Lytechinus pictus: one gene and its partners. The protein of the gene in region 3 purifies or fractionates together with the protein of the main gene of each other region. This does not show direct contact. Links are inferred from orthologs where the notes say so. Each region holds a gene or a part of one and is shown on either strand. Other genes may lie near its edges.

The links.
Region 1: the proteins of transitional endoplasmic reticulum ATPase-like (region 3) and cullin-2-like purify together in Homo sapiens (affinity purification with western blotting; 3 studies listed by BioGRID and IntAct, with this or other methods). This does not show direct contact. The link is inferred for Lytechinus pictus from reciprocal best matches to the Homo sapiens genes VCP and CUL2.
Region 2: the proteins of transitional endoplasmic reticulum ATPase-like (region 3) and protein phosphatase 1 regulatory subunit 7-like purify together in Homo sapiens (affinity purification with mass spectrometry; 3 studies listed by BioGRID and IntAct, with this or other methods). This does not show direct contact. The link is inferred for Lytechinus pictus from reciprocal best matches to the Homo sapiens genes VCP and PPP1R7.
Region 4: the proteins of transitional endoplasmic reticulum ATPase-like (region 3) and large proline-rich protein BAG6-like purify together in Homo sapiens (affinity purification with western blotting; 4 studies listed by BioGRID, with this or other methods). This does not show direct contact. The link is inferred for Lytechinus pictus from reciprocal best matches to the Homo sapiens genes VCP and BAG6.

The regions. Positions count from the first base shown.
Region 1 is NC_087257.1:3,623,981-3,631,456, forward strand, and holds the start of cullin-2-like, read left to right. Parts: upstream 1-4,450; 5' UTR 4,451-4,628; intron 4,629-7,185; 5' UTR 7,186-7,209; coding exon 7,210-7,328; intron 7,329-7,476.
Region 2 is NC_087258.1:4,634,177-4,641,821, forward strand, and holds the start of protein phosphatase 1 regulatory subunit 7-like, read right to left. Parts: upstream 3,009-7,645; 5' UTR 2,728-3,008; coding exon 2,709-2,727; intron 1,013-2,708; coding exon 903-1,012; intron 1-902. UniProt on the Homo sapiens protein: Regulatory subunit of protein phosphatase 1.
Region 3 is NC_087255.1:27,478,319-27,485,171, reverse strand, and holds the start of transitional endoplasmic reticulum ATPase-like, read left to right. Parts: upstream 1-3,827; 5' UTR 3,828-3,978; coding exon 3,979-3,995; intron 3,996-6,853. UniProt on the Homo sapiens protein: Necessary for the fragmentation of Golgi stacks during mitosis and for their reassembly after mitosis. Involved in the formation of the transitional endoplasmic reticulum (tER).
Region 4 is NC_087259.1:30,465,157-30,472,855, reverse strand, and holds the start of large proline-rich protein BAG6-like, read right to left. Parts: upstream 3,025-7,699; 5' UTR 2,957-3,024; coding exon 2,894-2,956; intron 1,919-2,893; coding exon 1,877-1,918; intron 1,355-1,876; coding exon 1,124-1,354; intron 444-1,123; coding exon 372-443; intron 1-371. UniProt on the Homo sapiens protein: ATP-independent molecular chaperone preventing the aggregation of misfolded and hydrophobic patches-containing proteins.

The DNA of each region.
Region 1 (7,476 bases), on a different chromosome or scaffold from region 3:
TATAATGCAAATTAACTTTCAATACCCAATAAATTTTCTCGCTTGGTCACTTGTTTCTATAGCTGTTATTCTGACTCTCTTTTGTTATCAACACTGGCGTACAGATGGAGAGGGGGAGTGCTTTTGTGGGCTGGAGCCCTCATAAATTCCAACCATTTTTTTTTTCAATTCCCTCGAAGTTATATATAAAAAAATATGAATATATATGTACATGTATATATGTCCGTGTGAGGGTGTGTCAGTGTGATGGTGTGTGTTTGTGTGTGTGTGTGTACGCGCACTTGCCACTTGTTAATATAAACGAATTGAAGGAATTAGGGAACTCGCTCCACATACCCGAAATTTCTTTATGGATCAATCTTCCCAGGAGGGTGGGATCACAATTTTTTTTTAACTTTAGGACTAGCCCCTTGTTTGTAACCCTAGATTGCAAATATGTGAAACCCCCTACAAACAACTGAAAGCTCTACCAGGAGCAATCTTTCTATTTGCTTTCAACAGGCAATCTTTTTCCATTATATCATTCTCAATATTTTTAAAACATCGAGTATATTATAGGAGTGCGGGCAACTAAAAAATTCAGCCCTAGCCCTTCTTAGTATCCAAAAATTGAAATGAGGTTTAATAAACTTCCTACAAACAACCGAATGGTCTTCTAGGAGCTATATTTCCGTTTGCTATCAGGAGGTTTTTTAATTTTATTTAATCCCCAATTACTGTCAACACTAAAATAAGGACAAAAAAGGATATAAATAATATATAGGAGTGTGGGCTACTGAAATGTAGGCACTAACCCCCCCCCCCTTTATAAACGAATTAAAAGAAGGGAAACTCCCCTCCACAAACACCCGAAATTTCTTTTAGGAGCAATCTTCACTTTTGCTTTTCAGTCAAGAATACTTTCATTTTTATTCACCCCTCAATAGTACAAAAGAAATACTTTTTAAAAGGGCGCAAATAATAAGAGAGGGCCAGTGAACCTTATCAAAGGACAAGCCCCTTCATTCTATCAATACAGTGCGTATCAATAAAAACTGGACAGTTTTGAAAAGTCTATCAAAAATTCTTTTCAAATTATGATGTCTATATTTTGATGTTTATAGATGCTCTGAAACCTTATATTTTAAATGCAATTTTAAGAAATGAATTTTGTTCATGCTTGAACGAACACGAGATTTGTCAAGGGTTCAAAAATAGGTTTGTGCAGAAATGAGAGGAAACAAAATATATGGTCATAAGACTTCCTGCTAAGCAGTAAACTTCCTCTTAACATTTTCATTATCTTTGCCATTGTTTTTAAAATTATGTTTCAAAATTCACTCACAAACTTATTTAGTTACTTTTAAAAAAAAGTTATTTTTTAGGATTGCATATTTAATAATTAATAAAAGTCAACCCAAGAAATGCCTAATTGCATTTTTTTTGGGCCTCAATTAGAGGATTTTATTTACAACAAAACAACATAACACATTATGAAAATGAGCATACATGACATTACAGGAAATTTCAGAAATTAAAACCAAAATTTACATAATAATGTAATTGTGCAATAATCTTACGTAATCTTTAACATGAATTAAAAAAAAACATTAAATGGAAACATGAAATTCACAGTGTTTCAAATATATTCCATAATTTCTTTGGGTAGATGAACATATCTTTTCCTGTACCGAGGTTTCATTTCTATTCTTCTTTCTATTTCTCTTAAAAATATGAATTTCAGATCCAGTTTAATTTGACCAGTAAAATTATTACTGGTCCAGCAAAAATTGTACTGGTCCAGTTTAATTTGACCAGTAAAATTACTGGTCCACCACAATTTGTACTGGTCCAGTTAAATTGGACCAGTAAAGTTATTACTGGTCCAGTTAGTTTGACCAGTATATTTGTTACTGGTCCAGTTAAAATTATACTGGTCCAGTTAAAGTTGACCATCAAAAAATTACTGGTCCATCTTATAGCAGACCAGTATATTTTGTTCCAATTTCCAGAGTTACCAATTAAATTTTACTGGTGTAACTGGTCCAGCCGTGCTGGTTTTTCCTTCTGGGATTGCCTCTCTTTTCGTTTCCACTCATGTTTCTTAAAACGATGACTTTGTGAATGCACCAAAGTGCGATAGTCAGAAGTAAAACTAATTTTTCGTCTACTTCATGTTTAAACAAAATTTTAATGATTGATTTCTAAATCTTTATGAAATATTTGCTGGATTATTTTTTTCAAAAATTCAAAGAATGGTTTGTTCAAATCACAAGAAATGAAAGCGTGATGAATATCTTCCTCTACTTCACAACGAGAACAGATGTTATCATTCACCAAACCCCTAATTGTTAATTGTTAGTTGTTAATAGGGTGAATTTGCTGTACTTTATTCAAATCATTATAATTGTGTGTTAGATAGGATATTAAATTATCAATTCTAACAGAAAAGGATTTATCTGCTTGTTGCATAAAATAAAATGGTTTGAATTGATTACAAGCTCTCAAATTCCTAATTACAAATTGGGTCATTCTTGGTTGATAAAAAATGTTAGTATGAAAGAATATTAATTGCAAAAAAATAATTTATTGAAATGAAAAAGTAAAGTAAATATACAGCTTTGTACGTGACATTTGCGACCAAAATCTGAAAACTATGGCAAAAATAATCTGCTGATTGGCAAGAAGTCTTATAACCATACACTTCATTTCCTACCACTTAGCGCAATCCTATATTTGAACCCCCGACAAAACCATCTCGTGTGCACTCAAGCATGAACAAATTAAGAAAAAAAACATTTTGAATTTGATCGATAAGATTTCAGAGCATCTATGAACATCAAAATATAGACATCATAATTCAAAAGGGTATTTTGATAGACGTTTCATAACTGTCCCGTTTTTATTGATACGCACTGTAAAATTGAATAAAAAGGGTCACTCCCTTCAAAAATACGATAGCTCTCTTCATTTATCAGGAACTTTTTTTTAAAAAATACTCCTCAATATTCTTAAAACTTGAGTATATAGAAGTGAGGGCTACTAAAACTTAAGTACTAGCCCTTTCTTTTTGTTTACAAATTGAGAGATATTAACCCCCCCCCCTCCACAAACCCAAAATATATTTCAGGAGCAATCTTCCAATTGTATTTTATAAAGAGGACTTTTAGTTCAAATTTACTCCTCAATATATATAAAAACGTGGAATATATACGAATGTATATGAGTGTGGGCTACAAAAACTAAGGCAGTAGCCCCCTGTTTTTCTTTACAAATTGAAAGAAGGGAAACCCCCCTCTACACACCCAAAATATATTTCAGGAGCAATCTTCCAATTGTATTTAATAAAGAGGACTTTTAGTTCAAATTTACTCCTCAATATACGAAAAACCCTAGATATATAGGGGTGTGGGCTACTAAAACGAAGGCACTAGCCCCTTGTTTTTCTTTACAAATTGAAAGAAGGGAAACCCCCATCTACACACCCAAAATATATTTCAGGAGCAATCTTCCAATTGTATTCAATAAAGAGGACTTTTAGTTCAAATTTACTCCTCAATATACGAAAAAACCTAGAGTATATAGGGGTGTGGGCTACTAAAACTAAAGCACTAGCCCGTTGTTTTTCTTTACGAATTGAAAGAAGGGAAACCCCCCTACACACACCCAAAATATATTTCAGGAGCAATCTTCCAATTGTATTTTATAAAGAGGACTTTTAGTTCAAATTTACTCCTCAATATATATAAAAACGTGGAATATATATATACGAATGTATATGAGTGTGGGCTACAAAAACTAAGGCACTAGCCCCCTGTTTTTCTTTACAAATTGAAAGAAGGGAAACCCCCCTCCACACACCCAAAATATATTTCAGGAGCAATCTTCCAATTGTATTTAATAAAGAGGACTTTTAGTTCAAATTTACTCCTCAATATACGAAAAACCCTAGAGTATATAGGGGTGTGGGCTACTAAAACTAAAGCACTAGCCCGTTGTTTTTCTTTACAAATTGAAAGAAGGGAAACCCCCCTACACACACCCAAAATATATTTCAGGAGCAATTAATCTTCCAGTTGTATTTTATAAAGAGGACTTTTTGTTGAAATTTACTCCTCAATATACGAAAAAACATAGAGTATATAGGGGTGTGGGCTACTAAAACTAAAGCACTAGCCCGTTGTTTTTCTTTACGAATTGAAAGAAGGGAAACCCCCCTACACACACCCAAAATATATTTCAGGAGCAATCTTCCAATTGTATTTTATAAAGAGGACTTTTTGTTGAAATTTACTCCTCAATATACGAAAAAACATAGAGTATATAGGGGTGTGGGCTACTAAAATTAAAGCACTAGCCCGTTGTGTTTCTTTACAAATTGAAAGAAGGGAAACCCCACCTGACCCCGTTTGTTTGATTTGTGTACAAGAATGCACGCTTCTCTTCGTGCGCAAAATCCTGTATCTGATCTATCTTACATCGCGATATTGTTGGCTGGAACTGTTGGCTGGCTTGCTGTTGGCTAGCTTATTGTTGGCTGACTCTACTCCGGCAGTGACATCATCATTCACCTTTAATAAGCTTTTGATCACAAATACTGAGTAACACAGTAGGGCATAGGAAAGACAGAGGAAAGGTCTTCTTTGAAGGTGAGAAACTGCACTTCTGAATGTTCTGGAAATTGTCAAGGCGTCAACTTTGCTTTTGCTTTCTTCACTTCAGTCCCTCTCGTAAGGATCTGCGCTGGGCCAACTCCCTTAAATATGGCAATGGCAGGTTTTCGTCAATTGCGCGATTTGCGGCCGGTTGTCTAAACATTCAGTTAATATCTAGAAAATCTGATATCATAAACACAACAGAAAAAAGCAGCCTTACACTTATCACAGATTATTTACAAAATGATTCAAAATCATGTTGTGGTGTTTGGAACCACTCGTCTGCTCGTCAATGTGAATGTCAATGACATTGTCATTGACAGTGGGTGATTTCAAAATTCAAGTATGGTGAGACTACCACATATCGACCACCTCTTTTGAAACCGACCACCTTGCGCGCGTTAAAATTATTGCGTATTACAAACGATACGCGCGGGAGAGTAGGCGCAGTGTCCATGGAAACGGTAAGAATCGATTTTACGAGAGAAAAAGAAGCAACAAAAAGTTAAAATTTAGTAGGCCTAGAATTAATCAAAATTGTATTGACCAGACCCAAACCCCGCTGAAAAACCAAGAAATCCGATAGGAAACGGCTTTAGAACAAATATCCGTCGTCAATCATCGAATCATGTGCCGGAGCTCGCAGTGGAAGTAGTGAGACAATCATTTAGCATGTTGACATCATAGAACTGATTTGGAAGAATAAAAATATTTCGCCACCGCGACAAGAATCGGCCGTAAACTTAGTGTATCGCGGGTGGTCGGTTTCAAAAGACGGGTGCAAATGAGCAAATGCAAAATCGTCGTATTCGTTGTTCGTCGATATATACGCGGATTGAATCGGAGTCGCCGAGCGAAACATGGGAATTTGATCTGCTCAATTTTCTGCACAAATGAGACGAAAACTGGGTAAAATTGATGAATATTTTCGCAGATATGATGCTTAGAAGATTAGGTGGTCAATAAGGGGTAGTTCCAACCATAACTGTTATTTAGTAACTTAGATCTACGGTGTTCAGTTTCGGTGTTGGTGTTAAGCGTGAAAAGGCTGCTAAACCGAGCTCCAACACCGATCTGGGTTCAGAGGAGCGATACCGATCGTGTTATCGATAGCTAGTAAGATGTCACGCCTCTGCCCTGCGCTGCTGATCATCTCAACTTCACGCGAGAAATTCTCGACGGCGGAAGTGAAATCAGGGAGAAATTGCAATAAAATCTTATTGTACAGAATGCAAAGATTAAAATTACTGCAAGAATCGGAAAGCGTAAATATCATTTTCATCTTAACTGTAAAAGATAATTTTACAGGGATGTTTCATTGTGTTCACCGCCTGTTCATGAGCTACAGTTCATCAACACCGAATTTGAAATCACGATTTTCCCAATCCCTGGGGGTTGGTGTTGGTGAATGGGGAAATTACATGTAGATCGTCAACACCAGCTGTAATGTTCAGTTCAGCAGACGAAATTCAACACGAACTGCCGGAAATACATCATATTTTCTGAGGTCAATCCCAACACCTGCGTGATATTTCAAGTACGGTGTTGTGGCTGGTGTTGATGTTTTCACAACACCAACACCAGATTTCAACACCGTACTTGAAATCACCCAGTGGCGATGCAATGTAACTTAACCTAAAAGCACAATTTTATTGTCATGTTGTGAAATTGTGTTAGAAACTATTAGTTAGATGAATCAAGGTGAAAGTAGGCAACCAGTTGTCATTATCATGAAAATTAGTCTTCTTGTGTGTTTCGGTGAGTGTGCGCTCACGGTGTAATCATGTCAAATGGAGGAGAACACTACCGTACTAGGAGTGTTCACGATGAGTAACTCATCCACATGAACGCCTTGCCCCAAGGCCAAACCTAAAGGATACCCCCAGGGACATCGGCAAGGCTTCCATATGTCCCCTCCACTAAAATTGAAAAAAAAAATATGGAGAAGGTTTATCAAGAATTATCTAACACATATCTAAGAGATTTAGGAAGGTAAAGTTGGATACATACCAAAAAAAGGCTTTATTCCGTCAAAATCTTGAGTGTGTAATTTCCAATGGCATTGGTTTATTTAGTCAGAAAAGTGAATACCCAATACTATTGGATATATCGGTTGACAACCGTTATGAAACCCATGGCTTTCAACAATTCCTGCTAGCTCAGTGAGTAAGGCGACAGACTGGAGATGCCATGTGCTGCAGCAAGAGGTTCAAATCCAAGAATCCAACCGGAAGTAAGAAGGAAAAAAATAAGAAAAAGATAACGAAAGAAGGGCGTTTGGAGAAGTACTTTTTCAATTAGTGGAGGGGACATAAGAAAGTCTTTCCGGGACATCATATCACACTTCTCAACAATTATGTGACATTGAAACGAAAAGGCATCACAAATACACTTGAAAGTAAACGAACAAAACATACAACAATACAGCCATAGGCTGTTATAAAAAGATTTATGTTGAAACTTCAGGTTCATTATTATTTGGAGCTCCTATTTCGTCAAATATGTATTTATGTTAACTTGTTTTGTTTGTTTTCTCCCCACTTATTAACAGGGATCTCATCTTGTTGACGTAGCCATGTCACTGAAGCCGAGGATTGTGAATTTTGAGGAAACTTGGGGTAGGCTGCTAGAGACTGTCCAGACGGTCATCCAGTTGGGAGACATCAAAAGGGCCACTTGGAGCGACAGATTTCCGTATCCTTTCTTTTTGTCACTTTGTTGAGATAACAGTAGAGGGTTGTAACTCGTAGAGTACCAAAGTGTGATGTCATCAATTTTCACTGTTTGCATGTCAGCGTTTTTGATACCATATTTTGGTAGAGTTTGATGAAATTCCTGAAAT
Region 2 (7,645 bases), on a different chromosome or scaffold from region 3:
TGGTAGGTTGGTAAGTTGGTAGGGGTTTATAACATGCAATTCATAGTTGCAGCATTATGGACACCGGTGAAACAAAATCCTTAAGGTTCATTACAGAACAATGTGGTGTGCAAATGAGTGGCCCAGCTATATCATACATTCCTTTTTTATCTCATAATAACAACTAACAATATTTATATCATTTAAAAATGTTATGTTCTGATAATGTAGGCTAGCTCTTCGCAGTTCAACATAAAACATGAATAAAAGAAGTTTCATTAACAGATTTTTATAATCATATTATATACATGTACATGTTTGAGCCAAAATAGTTATAATTTCATATCATATACATGTACAGGTACATAGAAAAATTGATTGTCTGATGACAATGTGGCACTAAATATACCTATGAGGCTTTGAAGACCTTCCCACCTTCCCATAAATCGCAGTGGGTAATTGGGGGTAAATTACCACTTGGCCTACACCCGCTTTGTCAACTTTCTGCTTGGTTTCATCCCACATGGTGTAATTCTAGTTTATCTACAACCAGTTCATCTACTAACCATTTGGTTTAATTGCTAATAAGTCCATGTACTGTACCATTTTGTCTCATTTCAAGTTAGGCTTTACCCATTTTGTCAAATATCCACTTGGTCTAACACCACTTAGTCTAGATATGATTAGATAAACTATTCATGAACCAAATTTTAATTTTACAAAACGAAAAATAGGGATTAGATTAAGTGGAAATTAGACTGACCGGGCATTAGACTAATTGAGAATTAGACTGGGTATTAGTCTAAGTGTAGTCTAACCTAACTGATGGTAGGCCAAATGGGTTTAGCCCATGTGGTATGAGACTATCTGAAAAGTAGCCAAATCTATTGCAGACAAAGTAAATTATAAACCAAACTACTTACATAAGCATTTGGATCTAAAGCAACTGGTTCTGGTTCCGGAGGTTCTATCATCTGGACTCCTGGTCCTCCTTCCTCCTCCTCCTCCTCAGATTCATCAGTCATTGGGGTTTCTTCAAAATGATAATTAAAAGAAAATCAAAAGCTTACAGATATTCATGCTACTGGGCAATTCCATAAAATATGTACGTCCGACCCCCTATATGTGGGATCTTCATGAAATTTTCTGTCTCTGATTTTGGTTCTTTTGAAAGACTGTAATGCTCTCAAATGACCATGACTTGTTTATGAAGTGGAGTAAAACTTGAGAAAAATGGGGGTCGGACGTACAAAAAGGTTGATTATTTTATGGAATTGCCCTACTGTCAATTTTTTTAAAATTTATATCCTACCTACTTTAAAAAAATTGTCAAATTGGTTTGTTAAATAAAATTATTTTATGGCGAAGCTGTACAATCAGACATGTAAAAGGTTTACATGTACCGTAAAAATTGCAAAAACAAATTGTTGAGTCAGCAGATTTATATTTAGAAAATAGATTGTATTTCCTTCCATAGAAATCAAACAAGTGAATAAGAACACTCCAGAAAATGTTTTGTTTAGAATCTTTTTGTTACAAAATATTGTATTTTGAAAGAGGGTGTGTACTTCATTTCAAACTTTACACCAGGTCATCATAATAAGGAAAATACAATTTTTCAAAGACTGTCCCCCCCCAAAAAAAAAATGGGAGATACATATTACATTCATGAACAAATCAATAAAATTTTGAAATTTATCAAATACTACTAATCTAAATGAAAAATATTAGTGAATTTATTGTTATTTTTTTACAAAAACAGTGGGTATAAAAAAATAATTAGCAAAAAGGGGAGCCTAAATGTTCTATTTTTAATGAACACCATTAAACATAATCATCATCAGAACAGATGTACAGTATGAAACTATCAATAAAACATCTGATGAGAAATAAAAGTAGATAAATACAGTAATTTAACAGCAAAAACAATCATATTTATGTTTACACAACTAACACAAGCAAAGGATTTTATTCATAAACAATTAATCACATATCAATCCTAAATACAAAATTAAGTGGAGATTAAATTGTAGAATGTAGATTATTTCACTTCAGACAGTGATATCATCTTTCAGTCAAATAAATTTTTAATGAAAACTTTTTAATAAAAATCACTCCTTTTGATGACATATAAAAGAGAGCTCTGTAACATTAGGCAACAAAGATTAGTGAATTTCATCACTTTCAGAAGTATTTCATCATCTCTATTCTTCAAATCATCATGCTCTCTTCTCTCTCTCTCTGAAGTCCGAGTCTGATCTGTCTCCTGGCCTCTTTTAATCAAACTTTATCCTCTTCTTTTCCAACATCAATTCAGAATTAGAAATGCAATCAGAATTATTTAACACTGGGCCAACATGCAATTAATCACATCAATAAAATAACATGCAAATAATTACAAAATCCACTTGATGTAGTTACGTCCAAGCTCAGAAGGCCAAAGCTATTATCGACATGTGCAATTTATTATGCATGTAACTAATTAAGCGATATCACGTTTCCTTGCTAATTTGAATTAGAATTACACACAAGCTTAATCACCGTAGATGAACGCGGGAGTGTTCCCCTAAGTGTGAGACTTGAAGTCTCCACAAGAGCTTGTTTTCATTTTTAAAGAAATAATCCCTCACTTTACTGTTCTTCTCACGACAAATATACATACATGACATATGCACATCATTATACCAATACACTAAAATGAAAGAATACAAGCAAATATGAAAAATTACCATTCTTTTCCTCCGCCATTCCGTCTTTTTCCGTTCTTTCTTTCACACAGTCACAGCAGTCGACTCGAAACGAATTTTGATGACAATATGGTATCTCTAATTGAATTGAATTTGGGGGAAAAAGAGGGTTAAATAATATGAGGAACTGACGAAACCGTTAATCGGGGGGGGGGTCAAAATTCCGAGTTTAATAGTCGTTGTGAATATTTATTTTTGATAGATTTATCTCTTCATATTTGAAACACCACGAATGTCTAGAAAAAAATTACACAAGGCCAACATTATCCCCGGACTCACTCTGAGTTCCCACATCATAATTTTTTTTTAATGGGGATCGATCAACCTTGGGATGACCGCGCCGAGCAACTGTAGAGTCAGTGACATAACTACGGGGGAGGGGGCAAGGGGGGCTGGCAAGAAAAAGAGGAGGGAGAAAAAGAGGGAGAAAGGAAAAGATACGTAGTGGGAAAGAAGAAATTATTGTACATTATAATATGTTATACTATATTATATAATTATGTTATATTACATAAGAAATATTTTTTCATAACTTTGTGAAACATAATTTGCTCAGGGCTCGCATTGTCTTAATTTTTAACGAGATATATAATCCTGCTGTACTAAAACATCCAGTTTTCAAGTCAATATACACATTTCCTCGCACTTCGAGTTATTATTGTTTTATGTAGCGTTTCATGACTACACAAAGTGATTGCTCCCTTTTGAGGTCTGAATATAAACATTTCCAGACCGTGCTTGCGTTCGCATTATTGGATTGGTGAGATATGTCTGCTCTTCATGAATTCCTAAAATCAGTCCTTAAGAATGTCCCTTTTTATGATCTGAATATAAAAAAATTTGAGCTCGTGCTTCGCGCTCGCATCATTAATTTTGGTTATTGAAATACGTATGGTCTTATGAATTCCCCGGGATGAATTCCTACAAACAAGCCTTAGAATGTCCCTCTTCAGGTCTGAATTTCCTAAATTTTCAGCTCGCGCTTCGCGCTCGCAATATTATTTTGAATAGTGAGATGCGTATGTTAATCATGAATACAAAAATGCTTCATGTGTTTATATGTAATTCTACAAAATCAGCAAGCGCTTGGCAGCAGGCTCACATTAGATGACTATGGTGAGATATATACTGTGAATCGATTTCTAAAAAATAATCCTTAAAATTTCCGTTTGGACTCAATATATACGAAAATTTCAGCTCACGCTTCGCGCTCGCATTATTAGTTAGCGAGACAGATACGTATCATGATTACAACAATTTTCTTATAATGTCCCTTTTTATGTCTGAATATCACAATTTTTCAGGTTGCCCTTCGCGCTCGCATTATTTGATCAGTGAGATACATATCCGTTTAATATGGCACAGTCCTTAAAATGTCTCTATTAGGTCAGTATACCTGGAAATTGAGCGTGCATCGCGTGCCCACTAAGTGACTCAAAATTTTTGATGGTGCCCCCAATGCCTTGACCCACGGTACGCCAGAGTGTACTGATGTACAAGAGGGATCAGGGCATGGGATGAAGTCCTTCCCTCCTTTGGCCTTTGGCACTTTCTGTTTGTTAGAGTGTGGGGTAATGAACCGGGTTTTTTTTAAGTCACTTAATTGTGAATGCAAATTACGTTTTGATGAAAACCTTTGAGATCAAAATTTTGACATAATCCGCATGTATAGGCCTACCTATATATCTTCACGTATGTCTTTTCTTTTCAGTTTCCCCCTTTTTCTTGGTATGCCCAAAGCCCACCCCCCCCCCCCCTCATTAGCCAGTGGAGGTATCTTTCTTTTCTTTATTCGTCAGGCCTAGTATAAGTTTAATTGCATTATATTTATTTCAATATTGTAAAATATTATGCATTCTTCTATTTTCCCGGTATACCCCAGCTACTCCTCTACAACTTTAAATCCATATAGCTGTTATGTCTGTCTGTATCGGAGGAGGGGGGTATTTTGCCGCTATAGAAAGCATGCTGCAATGATATAAGCAACTGCTTATAGGACGTACGGCTGGTATATGGTTTCATTGTTAGATGGTTTAAAAAGCATTTTCCAGCATTTCTCTTAAGCAAAATATACCACTAAGTAAAGTATTTTCCTTCACCAGTTATCAGAATAATAGCTCGAAGAACATCCATGTATTATAGGCCTATATTTAAAGAATCAGTTTTATTACGAGTTCTTTCATGCTCATCACGCTCATGAAGCAATAGATGAAGTCAACCGTTATGGACAAAATATTGTATATTAATATATACGATGATAAAAATTATATAAATTAAGTAGAAGCAACATTGTAACCAGGGGCGGCATCAAGATATTTTGATGAGGGCCGGGGGCTGGGGGCAAGACGATTTATATTATTGGTCATTTTCATTATTGAATTATCACCACGGGTATAGAGTTATCATAATGATTGTTATCTGCATATTTATTCTCGTCTTTATTCTCATTATCTTCCAAGTTCTTCCTTTCCAGTCTTTTCGGGATCAGTGCAGCACAGTTGGTTTAAATATGCCAGGCCTTATTTGTTTTATCCAGGGGTAGTGTCCGGTAAATAATAAAATCTGAAGTGTGTTCTGAAACTATTTCTGGTCAACAACTGATTAGACTAAACAGTATAATATTTCATGATGGCGTGACATATCGGCTACTCAATCTCATTTTTTTCCCAAGACTATAGTATTTTTCTCAAAATTTCATTGATCCTATTCTTTAAAGGTCAAGTCCACCAAAGAAAATGTTGATTTGAATCAATAGAAAAAATCCAACAAGCATAACGCTGAAAATTTCATCAAAATCGGATGTAAAATAAAAAAAATTATGACATTTTGAAGTTTCGCTTATTTTTCACTAAATAGATATATGCACCACTCAGTGACATGCAAATGAGATAGTCAACAATGTCCCTCACTCAATCGTTTTTTTTTTTAATTGTTTGAATTATACAATATTTCAATTTTTACAAATTTGACAATAAGAACCAACTCGACTGAACCACAAAATGTTAAAAACAATGGTAATTCCACAGATTCAGTGAGGAATAAAATTCCTTTCACATGACAGTGAGGAGAAAATCAGAATAATTCACATTTCTTTTAACAAAATACAAAAGAAATGAGTGAGTTGGTGATGTCATCAGTTGCCTTATTCGCATACCAATAAGGATGTTAAAATAACTGTTTTGTGAAATTAAGCGAAATTTGAAATTGTTATACTTTCTTATTTGACATATCTGATTTTGATGAAATATTCAGTCATGCTTGTTTGATTTGTCTTTTTCTTTTCAAATCAACTTTTTGTTTGGGTGGACTTCCTTTAATGATTTGTGTGTTTTCATACAAACTTGTTCAAAAGGTTTCATTCATTCTCCTTCAACCATCCAATGCAGAGAGTGAAGAATATTACCCAGAAGGAAAAACCAATTCCACTGGACCAGTTAGACCAGTAGAATTTTAACTGGTAACTCTGGAAATTGGAACATCGGTTTACTGGTCTAACTGGTCATACTGGTCCAGTTAAAATTTTACTGGTCCAGTTAAAAATTAAACTGGTCTTGAATTACTGGAATTTTATACTGGTCTTGATGGTGATTGTTGTTACTGGTCTCGCTGGTCTTCATACTGGTATGTTCTACTGGTCTGACTGGTCTTTGAACTGGTCGAACTGGTCCTCGTACTGGTCTTACTGGATCAATTTATTACAAGCATTTGGTTTGTTATATACCATGGTCAGTGAAATGTGATGGAAAAGACGGTTAGTAAATTAATCTTTCTGCTGTTATTTAAATGTGATATATGAAATTACACATTTTCATTGTGGATTAGTTCACACACTTATTTAGAAAGTTTTTCAACAACAATGAGTGCCATTGCAAGGATATTCCATTCTAAATCCTGATTTTTCTTTTAAAAACAGGAAATATGCAAATGAGGTAAACCACGTGATCAGCCATCATCAGAATTACTGGTATTACTGGTCTTGACCAGTTCAATATCAAACAATGAATTACTTTAGACCAGTTGACTATATCAGAGGAATATATCTTGCTTTGATCTTAATCATGATTAAAGGAGATAATTATTTTAATGATAATGTTAATACTTGATAATTATGATAATATTAATAAAAATAATTACAATATCAATAACAATGATAACAGTAATAAAAATGATAACAATGATCATAATAATCATAATGATAATAATTATAAGAATGATGATAACAATGATAAATGATAAAGATGATAACTTTCTCTGAATTGCAAGATTCATTTTCCATAATTCGTCAAAGGATCTGACTTGAAATAAAGTCATTATTTATTGGACCAGTAACACCAGATTGACGAAAAAAGAATTAACTGGTATTACTATTGCTTCAACTGGAGTGCAATTGTTTGAACTGGTCTCTGGTTGATTTTTACTGGTCCAGTTAAAAATCAACTGGCCCAGTAAAAATATACTGGAAACCAGTAAAAATTCTTACTGGTCTTACTGGTTTTTCCTTCTGGGTAGTCACTATTTTAGTGTTTTAAATGAGTAATATAATGACCATGGGCTCTGAGATCATATAGGTTACATTTAATTTTGTTCATTTTAAGTTCTTCAATTTTTTTTAAAGTGATAAAGGGGCCTAAGAGATATAATTTTATTCAAACCAGTCAGGTGATATTATATAAAGATTGGCAAAAGTATATCATGAAAGGTTTATAGACCCAGAAGAGGGAGAGCTTGAAAGGGGATCCTTAATGAAATTAGTAACATAACATAACATAACGTACATAACAAGTATATAAAACATAAAACATTATAGCAAGAATATTGATTATATATATATATATATATATATATATATATACAATGATAGAAAGTAAATAAAAGATCAACCCAATTAGACATTTTGTAAGCTCTCTTTTTTTTCTTTT
Region 3 (6,853 bases):
TTAAATCCCTGATTCGCTCCACATTTCAAAATTCATGCGGTAACCGTTACCATAGAAACTAGTTAAGGAACCTGATATCCACTTGGACTAGCTGCAATGAGGTATTAATCTGAAAAAAATGAACATTAGTTGCTATTATTATATCATTTACATTTAACTATATATGTATCATATCAATATCTATTCGGATCCATTATCATGTTGAAATATGAAAATTTACTTTTACTACAGAACGATTTGTTGTTTTTCTGTTATCCAAGTTATGCAAGTGGTTCAAAGAAATCCCGAACTCGTCTATTTCAGTGCGTTAATGGTAGCGCACATTGGTGTTTACATTACAATTCGTTTGGTACCATGTATGTGATGAAGTGCTGTTCTACTATACGAACTGGCCAAGATAAATCCTTTCATCACTAACTAATTTAAATCATTTTGGCGTGAAAATGTTTGAGTTTAATCATATCAACGATAAAGTATATACCTAAAATGAAAAAAAATCCAATTAATATTTCATCAGTTCATAATACTCATTTTGTCGATAGGAGTCCATTCAAGGTCAATAATGATGACTGATGTTAACTGGAAAGGTTCGATCCTTGCTGATCTAGCATACCTCTGTCATTTTTTCCTCTGCCATTATTACCTCTGCCATTTTTACCTCTGCCATTTTTACCCGGCACCGACTTTCAAAGGGGGGGGGGGGCACACCTATCTAAGAACGGCATATACATTACAATTTTTATTATGGCTCTCAAAAAGGGGACACGGGCCGGATGTGTCCTAGTCCCCCTGGATCCGCCAGTGCACTTAAAAAATAAAGCGAGCGCGAAGCGTGAGCTGATTTTTTTTTAATATGTATTATTATTTTGACCTATATAGGACTGGGGCATTCTAAGGAAATTTTGTCATTATGTGAAAATAATGACTATCTTCCTTTTCCTTTTCTTAGTACGAGATGAAACTTGTTTATATTTCATTTTGAAAAAAAAATGACAATTTAAGAATTCATGAAAATGTTATCATTTTATTCATTAATCTAATAAGCCTCATGAGAGAGCGAAATTTGTTGATATTAAGGCCAGAAAACTTTTAAGCACTCATTTAATTATGAATCAGATGCATGGATTGTATCATAACAATAATCATGAAAAAGGGATTTAAAGTAGTTTGTTAAAATTAATATAGGTATACATAACTCACTAATTAAAATGCAAGGACGCAGCGCTAGCTGATACGTTTTGACAATCATACCTGAAAAGGGATATTTTGTTAAATTTATGGAATACACGAAGAGAATAGGTGTACTTGACAAATTAAATAATGTGAGCGCGCAGCGCGATCGAGCTGGAAATGTTGATATTCAGACCACAAAACGGACATTTTACAGTCATGACAGAACACTTAAACAAAAAATTGTTAATTAAACAAGATAATGGAAGCTCGATGTCCGAAAAATGTTTTGTATATAGACTTCAAACCTTGATATTTTAAGCTCCATATCGGCCTATTGAGCAAGATATGCATCTCATTGAACAGGCAATGCGAGCACGACGCGTGAGCAAAAGTTTTATATTGTGACATGAGGGATTTAAACAATTATTTTTCAAGTCTTATTTACTCGTCTTCCTCCTCTTTTTTCCTTTTATTGTACTTTTTTCTCTTTTCCCTTCTTTTTCCTTTTTGATCTTGCTTTTCCCCTTGTTTTCTTGTTTTCAGTTGCTCCGCCATAAAAAAAAACATGGGGCATACGTCCCCCTTAAAAAAAGTGTGTGTGTGTGGGGGGGGGGGAGACGTGTCCCCCTGTCCACCCTGGGATTTCCATCAATGAGAAAATAACATCATATATTTCACTTTTCCTTTACTTTGTTGTTTGTTCTTGGTTGTGTATTTTGGGGGCCATGGCCCAAACCCTTCCATCTGATGTTTAAGACAGACCGCTATTTCAATCAAATCGCGGGTATATTACACAGTAAAAACGCTGTTTAAGATTTTATACAACGTTGTTTACTATATGAACCTTACAGTATTTGTTTAACCGTTTAAACAATCATGTTTAATTTATTGACAATTAGATATTGAAAATTAAACTTTATTGCTTAAGATTTAAACAGTTGTATAAACAGTTTAAACAATTACTGTAGGTTCATATAGTAAACAGCGTTGTATATTTTTTTTTTACTGTGTATAGAGGGAAAACTTTTACACAGCACATTAATTCGACGATGTGGGAAAATTTATAAAAAGTCGCCAGCCTTTTGTCTTTGGAAATGTAATTCTAATTTTGATGATTTTTACATTATATCATTGTTTTCCATTCATTTCATTTATTTATTTTATTTCCCCTTGGTGGTGATTGATGGAATCACCCCGGCCCCCTCACTGTACGCTATAGTGCTTGAACGTAAAGCGTAATGCAGGAAGGGTCCGCCGGGTACAAATGCCCCGGCCGTTGTAGAGCCGATTTGAAGGTTACAAATGAAGAGCCCTAGAGCCCCCGCCGTAGCTTTGGAGATTTAGCCAAAGTGCATTAACATTAAGATGTTTTTACGGTAATTCTTGCCAGCATATAGCTTTACTGAAATGTAGGGGCAGTAGCTAGCATACGCAGGGGGGTGGTGCTTGGGATTATAACCCCCTGTTTTATACACCCCCTAAGAATTCAACCCGCCTTAGATTTGTTTTTAAGACCTTGTTTTGTTTTTTTGCTTGTCATTTTTTTTTTGGGGGGGGGGGGGGGGTAGGAAACGACCTGAAATTGGTGGTGAAGACCCTTTTTTAGTGGGGGGGGGGGGGGTCGTCAACATTTCATTCAGCTTGATACCCCCCTTAAAAATAATTCGACCCTACTGGGCAGCCCTGTCGAGTTATGTATTAGAAGTTCTTCCTTTTTTTTCTCGTCCCTTTTCTTCATTTTCCAAATTAGCTAAAGTTCATTTCCCGATTTTCTTTATCTTTTAATTTATTTCCCTTTCTTATCAATCATGCTAATGCATAGTATTTCGGGATGATTGTTTCTTTCTTACAATACATGTTCTTCTTTCCTTCCTTTTCCCGCTTTCCTTCCGTTTTCTCTTTTCATGCTTTTTTTTTCAGGCATAGGATCCCTGCTGGCCTCCGCCACGTACCTCCGACTTTTGGCTTACCTAATGGCAACCATAATTGCCAGATCTTTAAAAAAAACAACAACAAATTTATAAGATTAAAAAAAATACTGTTTTTAAAAGCTTTTTCATTTCTCCTTTATTTTTTTCCTTTCCCCTTTTCTCCCCCTCCCACCCGTACCTTTACTTTTTGTCTTCTTTTCATACCAGTTAGTCTCATACCATAGAGATGTATACTAGTATACATCTCTATGTCTCATACACGGAAAAATTATTTCCGTGGTCTCATAGGAATGACGCAATCTTTATTTCTAGAAATTCAAGCATAGTCTGCTAGCAAGAGTAGACTTTTTTTTAAAGTAGAAACCAAAATAAGAGCACCCTATCTCTATAAAACCGTCACCATTCTTATCGATCTATCCATATTTTCCTCTAGAAATACGATATACAGAAATATTTGTCAATATTTATTTTACAGCGCAAGAATGGTATTGTGCAATCGTTTAATATGACAAAGCTGGTTCGGCTTGGTTTTTTGTTTTCTTTCCCCACTCTGTAATAACTATTGTATTTGAAAATAAAAACGTATCGAATCATATTGTTTTGTATGTAATTTTGAATTTATTATATAAAATTTATCTATATTAATTTTTACATGATCGTGTAATCATCTAATTTTATATGACTGATTATTTGTAGTGCATTTATCTCTAAATCACTATAAATGTTCCGCTTGATTGCTCTCGGTATATATACACGTGTATTAGTTTGGTCCGTGAGTCTTGAAGATAAACTAATTATTTCATATGCAGCAAGTTTGCGATTTCACTGTGAAGACGAATGCACTTGCTGTTTTCTTGTTTAAATCATCAGAAATATGGCTGAAAATTCTCAGTAAGAATTTCATATCTTTATTTTGTTTAACTTTATGTATCGAAATCACGTGTGATGTATTTTGCTGCTCTCATGAATGAAGAGAATTTATTACTCGGATCTGGCTTTGTTCATATTCGGTCATCACACACATTTTCAATTTCACGAAGTCATTGTGCGTGTATGAGATGATGTGAGTGACCGGCGCGGCGAGCTTTTTACAGCTACCCACGTACACTACAGACTACACTCTACAGTACAGGCCAGTGCAGCGCCAGCCAACCAAAGTGCGTGTGTGTGTGGTTCACTGGTTGGAACTACCCCTTAATTATCGACCACCTAATTTTCTAAGCATCGTATCAGCGAAAATATTTCTCAGTTTTTACCTAGTTTTCGTCTCAATTGTGCAGAAAATTTAGGAGATCAGATTCCCATGTTTCGTCTTTCGATTGACGATCCGATTCAATTCGCGTATGGTCGGGGGTCCTAAAGCTGCGCGGGTCCTAAAGCTACGCACCACTCATAGCGCATGCAGTTTTTTATGGCAAATGCGCACTCTGTGTGTGGAACTGTGACTGCAGAGTGACGAACGATTCCTAATCAATTTTTTTCTACAGAGGTTGCAGTAAATCTCTAAATGCAGAGAAAACAAACAACTATTTGGATTTTTGGAGTTATATTCGCTTTAATTTCATTTTATCCTATAATAATGTGAATATATTTTAGAAATTGAGGCACAGGAAATACTTTTTTTTTGCATGATAAATCGAGTGCGTAGCTTTAGGACCCCTTCTACATCGGGCGGCGAAATCAAGAGGTGTTCGGAAAACACGGCGGGATTTTCGTGTTAGTGAGTTTAGCGATATTTTCTTCTTGGTTAATGATCTTTATAATGTTTGCCACAAATTAGTGAAAGATAATTTGTTGAAATATTAAAATTGGGATATTTTTTGTTGTTTGAAAACAAAGTGCGTAGCTTTAGGTCCCCCCATCATATATGGTATATCGGCAAAAAACTAAGTAATAATACGACGATTTTACATTTGCTCATTTGCACCCTTCTTTTAAAACCGACCACCCGGGATACACTAACCGTTCAAGTTTACGGCCGATTCTTGTCGCGGCGGCGCGGCGAAATATTTGGACTCTTCCAAATCAGTAATGTCAAAAATGATCCTCTCACTACCGTACTGGTACTTCCACTGCGAGCTCTGGCACATGATTCGAAGATTGACGACGGATTTGTTCTAAAGCCGTTTCCTATCGGATTTCTTGGTATGAACAACTGTTTTTCAGCGGGGTTCGGGTCTAGTCAAAACAATTTTGATAAATTCTACTAAATTTCTACCCCCTTTCGTTTTCTCTCGTAAAATCGATTTTTACTGTTCCTATGGACACTGCGCCTACTCTCCCGCGTGCATCGTTTGTAATGTGCAATGATTTTAATGCGCGCAAGGTGGTCGGTTTCAAAAGAGGTGGTGATGGTCTCACTATAACGTTAGGCCTATCTGGTAACTGAATGTAGATCTACGTCATCTAGTACCTCGGTCACATTTGCTCTACGGCGGCCGTACGGCGAGTCGAAAACAGCCGTTTTAAATTTTTTTTGTACCAGCTACATATAGGTGGTTTGAAATAAAATTAATAAAACGGCCGTATTCGACTCGCCGTACGGCCGCTGTAGAGCAAATGTGACCGATGTGTTACGTGGTCATGACTAGCCAGGAGGCTCCTAGAGAGTAAAAATCATTTACTAACGTATGCTTACTCTCAACGGAGCCAGGAATTTCTTCCCATTCATCTGCGTGTACCGCAAAAAAACCCTGAAACTTTCGCCCCCGAGATTTCTACTTTCCTTCCAAAAGATCTAGCCCTTAATCATGTACATGGGATACAACTTCATTTCCGACATTTCTACGATATCGATTTCATTTTTAAACAAGAATTAATTCAAAAAAATATTATGAAAAGACGGGAAAAACTTGCCACCGTGTTTACGTCGCCATCTTGATTTCACTGTCTTTTGCGTGGCGACAGCACGCAAACCGCGCGGAGGAGCAAGTTAATGAGTTTTCATAACTAGATCTATTTTTTAGTCCAGTTGTGATCGATGCAAAATGGGATGAGAGATGCCTGTGTGTGATGGTGCAATAGTTCATCTAATTTTTAAGTTTGACAATGTTTCACTTTGAGACTTATTCATTTCTAAAATATTATAGTTTTTCGAAATCTTTAAAATATATTTAAAAAAAACCAAATATCATTAAGATTTTTATTTGATTGGATTTTTTTTTTTTGCTTGTAGTTTGAACCTTTTCCCTTTCTTTCTTTCTTTCTTTCTTTTGTTCTTTCATCTTTTTTTTCTATCCTTTCTTCATCTTTCTATCATTCCTACTAATTTACCTGGCTTTTTTTGTTCCATCTATTATATTTCCAATCTTTCATAGCTTTCTTTCCTGATCCTTTCTCTTCATTTTTCTTTCATTCCTTCTTTCTCTTACTTTCCTTTTTTTTCCCCCTTTTTTGTTTCCTTCATTCTTTCTTTCCTTAAACTTTTCTTTGCTTCCTCCTTTTTTCCTTACTTTGTTTTTCCTTTCTGTCCTTCATTTTTCTTTCACACATTTATTCATTTTCCCTTCCGTTCTTTTCCTTTCTTTCTTCATTCATTTCAAAGAATGACAGAAACCTTATTTATTTGTTTTATTATTTCTTCATCCTTCTTTTATTTTTAACTTTCTTTCTTTGTATTTATTTTCTTTTTTCCTTCATTTTCTTTACTTCTTTTTTATCTTCCTTTCCTTTCAAATCATCTCTTTTCTTTCTCTCCTTCATTCTTATGTTCACCCTCCCTTCCTTTTCTTTATAATTTTTTTAAACAA
Region 4 (7,699 bases), on a different chromosome or scaffold from region 3:
CTCTTATTTCACATTAGATCAATTACAAGACAAACCAACAGAAGTCATAAAGTAAGCCAAGAGCTTTTGGAAGTTACTTCTACATGTAGCATCTATAATTATTCTATTGCTTGAAGTTTTATTAAATTTACAAGTTTGCATTATTCAAAAGCTACAGCACAGAATATGTGTGTAATTGCGTTTTACAGACATATATCAATGAGCTACGATTAATTACTCATCAGACTGACCGCTCCAGGTCAAAGTCAATGATAAATGAACTCTCAGCCAATCAGATATAAGGATTTCAGTAGCTTATAACAGTTGCCAATGAAAACCATCGACAAGACACTTCATGAAACGGTCCCCATAACTGTCTTTCAACAACTTACTGATGCTTGTGATGTTACTCTAGCATTGCGCCCCAAGTCTCCCATAGCTCCTAGAATGTGCTGTACGATGTTCTAAAATTAAAAATTAATATGAATATGCAATGAAAGTTATATTATTTCTTTCAATCTTGAAAAATTTATATTTTTTTAAAAGTAGGTCTTTACTGAACAGCTGTATAATAATGTCAGCAATGAAATATAAAAAATAAGAATTCTGGAAAATATCAATAAATATTATAAACTTCTATGTCTTTCGTGTTATGTATTCTTTGTCTTTTCCACATGTAATTTATTATTTTTCTGTTCATTTTATGCAGAGAAAAATAAACTTGAATTGAAAATGGATCTCTAAGAATCTGATTACAAATTCTTTTCCAACAAATGTGGAGAAGAAAAACTTGGAGAAAGGCTGTAACCACCTGATTAATGTTAAATAATGAGGATGGTCATTGGATAATAGAACAGCTGATTACTTAGAACGATGAATCAATCACTGAAACCAGGAACAACAAAAATAAACGAGGAGGGTTTGAATAAAGGCCCTTGACATATTGCTAGCATAGCATACATGTCATTGCTACTATAATCTTTGAATATCAGAGATGGTGTAATACTTTGCTGACCTTTGCTTTTGGTCTTGTCTTTAATAGGCAGAGTCAATTATATGCAGTCTAAATGAGAAATTAATGTCTCATGGCCTCAAAACTCCAAAATCATGTCTTTGAATCAATCGCTAATCAATGTATACATACCTGAACCTCGTTAGAGTTTGCAGAAAGACCAGGCTGCTGAGATGGGGCAGAAGTAGTGGAAGAACCGCCTCTCTGTTGCTGGGAACCACTCGCACTGGTGGTTGCAGGTCGTGGGGGCGCCCTCTCCACCAGATGCATGACCTTTCCATGGAGGTTATACTCGGACAGCTTCTTCTCATCCTTGAGGACTTGACCGCCGTAAATGAGACGTTGAGTGGCAGCTGCAATGCCCTGAAAGCGATCATGTTAAAGAGATTACATTAACAAAACGAATCCTACTTAAAGCAAATTATGAGCCAGCACCCTTGTTTCGCACCACATAAAGTCCTCAACTACTTGAATCTGGCCTGGTTCCTTACTCATAATGCAACATTCTTGTCAAATATACCCACTTGAATGAAAACACACTAATTTACTACTCAATACATTCATACTGAAAACACATGTAATGATTGTATAGTTGAAAATTGAACATAATTTTATTTCAATCAAGGTTACTCACAAAATAAGCCATTTACTTTTGCTGAAAGTTTTGCTTAAAGCCAATTAGATGAATTAATCAATCCTGTGACTGTAATTCCCATGGCCTCAATTGATCTTCTTAAAGAACATTCATTTCCTGTGAGTTACGTATGTATATACAGTCATTGAAGGATTTTATTTGAAGAATTCACATGAAATTCCTTTAATGATATATGTAGGCCTACAGTGCTACTCTTCTTTGTAAATAAGTGATAGGAGAAAATATCTTACCACAGAACCTGCAATCTTTTCCTTGAAATCCTTCACCGTCAACTATTACAATTAAAGAAAATAAATAAGGTATAAATACATATAAATACTTCCAATTCATATCTAAACAATGAGAATGAATTAAGAAATCATACAAATTTGCTCAATATAAATGTTGTATTAACGATAAATGTTTCCTGATTTTTCTATACACTTAATATATGAATCATCTCTTGCTGAAGTGTAATTTTTATCATTTCCCATTCATTTAAATTACATTGGCATTGTTAATTAACATGTTGTTGTCAATTGAAATTATCATAGCTAATTAAAGTGGTATTGTAAACTGAAAATAAAATGCAATATTGTACATTATGAATTATAATATTATAAAGTATGAATTTTATGAATTTTAGTAAGCAATTAACCAGAGGATCCGTTTGAAGATTTTAAGTCTGCTAAAAAGGACATGGAGCCTCTTTCATAAAGAGTTACAACTATGGTTGCTTTACAATTATGACAACTACCATGGAAACCTTGATTGTGATTGGCTGCTGAGCCCGGTTACCATAGTAGCTACCATAATGGTAAGTTATATGTTGAAAGTCCTTCATGATATGGGCCCCTAATATTAAATGAGGGTCAATACCTTACCAATTGGCACTAAAGGACAATAACACATCAACTCTGAATCAAACCTATGTTCACTGGATAACAGAACCAAATGCTTCATCAATGGAGCTTTTGCACCTCCTAATTATTATTACTAATCACTGACATAATCTGTATTATCACTATCATCAGGGGCAGATCCAGGATTTTCTAAAGGGGGGGGGGGGGGTATTTTGTACAGGAAAAATATGACAAGCAAAAAAAAAAGTCCTGAAATGCGTATGCATGACAAAATCCCCTAAGATATCTTCTTGTGCCTTTCAAAGGGTGGAGGGGGGGGGGGGCCATGGGCTGGATGTGCCCCTACCTGGATCCACCACTATCATTCATTATTATATTGAGAAGAAATAAATCAAGCAAACTTACATCCTCTGATACAGAGAATTGCCTGGTTTGTGAATCCAGGGTCTTTACAGTAATATCAATCATTATGATCCTCTCTCTCCCTACTCTGTTGTATCAAGCTTTGATCCTAAATCTAAAGAAAAGTAAAGATAAAGTAAAAAATTAAATGACAGGATACTTCACACCACAAAATCTAACAAGTGGAAAGCTTCTGGCAGTCTCGCCTGCAGCACTTGTCTAATTCAATATAGCAGCAGTGCTGACTTGATGAAAAAATAATATGCAACTTTATATAGCTCTTAATGCAATGCATACTATTACCTGGGCTTTAGTATGGCTATCCTGGGGAGCTGTTGATCAACAGTTTTGTCCAACAAGTTGTCAGATCTGACAAATTTCCTTGAATCTGACTCCCCTGATCAGACGCTCGAGGCAAGCATTCATACTGGGTAGGGGAGAGTGGGGTAAATAAAGCCCCATTTTTCATAATTCCACTCATATTTGTTTAATGCAAAGCAGTAGAAACATGATTAGATGTCAAATATAAGGTCTACAGCAGACATACATTATCCAATAGAAATATAAGATCTAATCAATCCCATTTGCATATTAATGAGCCTTAAATATTGTTGTCAGCGCGCCTTATTTGCACATCAAAATGGGGCAAATGAGTCGCCTTGATTAAAAACTATTTTCAAAGCTGTATTCAAAGTAATAATAGTTCAGTTGGTTTGATACAATCACTGAACATTTAATAACAATCACAGGATTGATATTTAATTATTTTCCCAAAGGCCCCCATTTAAGGATCTATTTATAATAATAATAATAATATTCTGCATTTATATAGCGCTTAACACATCGAAACGACGTCTCTAAGCACTTTACAGATATATTATCACCCCAGTCATCGGATCCTTGCATGCCCGCATACAATGTATGCACCTTCTCCACTCCCTGGGGAGCATTCCAACAAGAGTTCCAAGACTCAATTGCTAGGCATACTACATAGGCTTTCGCATCCTACCGGGTACCCATTTAACACCTGGGTGGAGAGTGGCAAATTGTGGATTGACGCCTTGCCAAAGGCGTCAATTATATCCAATATTATGAAAAAAAATTATTGTTGCATTATATTATTACGTTTCTCCATGTTCTAATGAAAATGAAAACTTATAGCGTACATAAGCAAGTGTAGATATCTACACTGCATATTGCTGTTTTAAGAGATGTAGCAATTCATGCCTACATGTATTCTTCATGCCTACATGTATTCTTCATTTTCTTGATAGAGGTACATGTAACTGAATAAAAACAATTTCAAGGAAATATGGAAAAAAAATGCAAATTTCATGACTTTAAAGATGTTAAATGTAAAATTTCATCAACATTTTGGGCACAGTCACACAGTAACAAGTCAGACTTGGAAATAATTTTATTCTTTTAACTGTCGTTTTAACAGTGATTAAACACTTTGACTAAGTAGCCTGAGTGTAAAAGCATACATACATGTATGAATCATAATTCTAGACATGACATATTATTTATATATGTTCAATGCAAAAGATCACATTAGGCCTGGAACTTTCGGGTATTTTTGTCTTCGGGTACCCGTGGTAATTTTCGGGCGGGTACCCGAAAATCATGTCGCATGAAATATGACTGGTGGAAAAAACTCATAGGTGGAGTCATCCAGCCACTGCGCCGCAAGCCAATTTATGAATGAAAATATAGTAAGCAGTGCAAGCCTCCCGTGAATGTCCTATGCGTAGTATACCAGGGTGCGACATAAGCGCTTGCCCGATTGCCCGGGGCAAGTAAAAGTTAGAGTCGGGCAAGTGTTTTGAAGCAAAGACAAAAACTGCTTGCCCGAATCGGGCAAGCAAAATTCTCCTATGGAAATTATATTTTAGAAAGATTCCCCATCAAAATATAGAAAAGAAAAAGAGAAAAAAAAGCAATATCATTACCGTAATTTCTTCTTTCAAAAAAGTTTATAATTCGAAATTTTGCAGAATTTGCGCCATTTTGTGCAATAAACACACAGCTCAGAGACGTACACACACACACAGAATGGCAGTCTAGCATACCTAGCTAGCTAGCGCCTAGTCCACGCAGCCGATGCATGTAGTAAAGTTTCTACGGTGTACGGTGCTGCACGAACGAAGTTTGCTCTGGAAGAAATCTCCCACAGAACTGTCAAAATTCACATTTCTCACCGATAAAAATTCTTGTAATGTCCATATTTCCTAAAAATTGGGGTAGCTCTGTCATTTGTAAGCAGTAAAAGGAGAAATTTTCACTGCTGTTATGCTTCAAAAAGATCGGGTTTCGACTGATCGTCTGAAATACATTGTTTGACAGTCCCACATATGCATTTGTGTGTATGTTGATAAACGTGGTTTCTTTCGTAACTATTTTTTTTAGCCAAGGAAATTGATAAATTTTCTTCTTTATTTATGACTGGATAGTTTGAGCTTTCTTCCTCTCTATTTTCTTTCTTTCTGCCTATATTTCCTTCTTTTGAATCTCTCTTTATTTCTTTAAATTTCCTTCCTTCTTTTGTTCATTTTTTCTGTTACTATAGCTGTCTTTCTTTTTGTCATTCTTTTCTTTCTATCTTTTTTTCTTTCTTCCTTCCATCCAACCTTTGTTTACCTCTTTCTTTAATCCTTCCTTCTTTTTCCCCTTCCTTTCATTCTTTCTTACTGTCTTCCTTCAGTCCATCCATTCTTACCTTTTCTTCCTGTCTTTTTTTCTTCCTTACTTTCTTCATCCCTTTCATTCTTTCATTTCTTTATTTCTTTCCTTCATTTCTTCGTTTCTTTTTGTCTTTCATTCTTTCTTTCTCCTTCCTTCCTTTCTTTCTGTTTTTCTTTATTTCTGTCTTGCGTTCTTTTGATCTTTCTTTTTTCCATCCATCCTTTCTTTTCTTCCTTATTTTTTCTTTCTGCCTTTCTTCATCTCTTTCCTTCATTCCTTCCTTCATTTCTTTCTGTCTTTCGTTGTATCTTTCTTTTCTTTTTTTCTTTTTTTCCTTCCTTCCATCTATCCTTATACCTTTTCTTTCTTCCTATCTTCCTTCTTTCCTTTCTCTCGTTTTCTTTCTTTCCCTTTTCCTTCCTTTCTGTTTACCTTTTTTCTTTCTTGTTTTCCTTTTATTCATTCCTTTCTTTCCTTCCTTTCTCTTCCTCTCATTTTTTTTCCTATTTTTTTTCTTTCCATCCTCCTTTCCCTTCTTTCTTCCTTTCTTTCTTTCTTTCTTTCCATCTTTCTCTTCCCCGCAGCCATTCTCTCTCTCTCTCTTTATTTCTTTTTTTTCCCTTTTTTTTTTCTTCCTTCCTTTATTTCTTCGTCCTTTCTGTCTTTCTTCTTACTTTTTTTTCTTTCATTCTCTCCCCCTCTCTTCATTTTTTTTCTCTGGTTATTTTCAGTGATTTCCCCTTTATTTATTGTGTGTCCTAGTCCCTTCCAAAATATATGGAAAATATATGAGATTAGGAAATTAAGTAAAGAGCATATTTACCATTCATTTTGTCATGATCTTCAAGATAAAAATCATTAAAAAAAAAGAAATACCGGTACAACTACAAGGTACATCAGTTGTAATGTTGAAAAATGTATTTTTAAAGCCGTCAATGGTATGGTATGTAAAACTATAAGGCTATAACTTGTTTTGAAGCAATAAAACTTTGTTTTGAAGGATTTTTTCGGGCAAGTGAAATCTATATTCGGGCAAGTATTTTCCAACTATTTGAAAATTTACTTGCCCGACTGGGCAAGTGCTTCAAAAAAGTTATGTAGCACCCTGTTTACCATCGAAACAAGTCTGCAATACTCTGTCACCTCTTACCAAAATCGACCTAGAATTCCACTTTCCTATATTTTATATGAATTATGAAAGGTATTCTCGGAGGATCTGTTTTCTCACCGATACCACACAGGTAAGCAAATTTTGATTACTTCTTGCTTTTCCATCAAAATCTTACGAAGTAGCGTCAATATTACATCGTGTTCATGAGTTTGTAGAATCTATCGCTACGTGCACAAAGTCAATTGACTTCCAGGTTTCGGAGCATCAGATAAGCCAGCCAATCACTATCGTGTTACCATTTTTGGTTTTATGATGAACTGAAAATGGTACACGAACATAATTGGCTGGCGCTGCAAAAGAAACATGGCGACGATTGAACGATCTCAGTCACATCATCACTTGAAAAACTTGTATATTTATGGATATTTCGAGGGTAATTGGTGATATTCAAAATGAGACTAATGTACTTTTGTGATGAGTTACAATCATGTCTAACACTACGCAATGCAAATCAAATACATGTACGTTATACTGGTGAGCAATTTTTGGGTATCGGGTATTGATTTTTCTACCCGGGTACCCGAGGCTTCCAGGCGGGACCCGGGTTTTAGTCCCACCCCTAGATCACATCATATTCAATACACATATTTTAATCAGAAAATATTTGTTGCAAAAGTAAAATCTAGTAACATTAATATTCATGTATCATGAAGCAATAGTTAAATTGAAATATGATTACTGTCATTTATCCATTTTAGTTGCATTCCTATAAATCTTCCCCCAATGCTACGGACGCGTGCGTCCTTTACGATGGGGAAGAACAATAGGAAACAAGATGGTGGCGAAAATATCGGGCAAGTCTCCTCCGTCTTTTCATAATATTTTTCTAATATAATATTTTTTACTGGCCAAAAATCACCAATTTTGAGGATGACCGGAGGATGGACATGGAGTGAAATAAGGGTGAAGAGTAAGAAATTAAGCTTTTATTTATTGTTGACTACCGTATAACC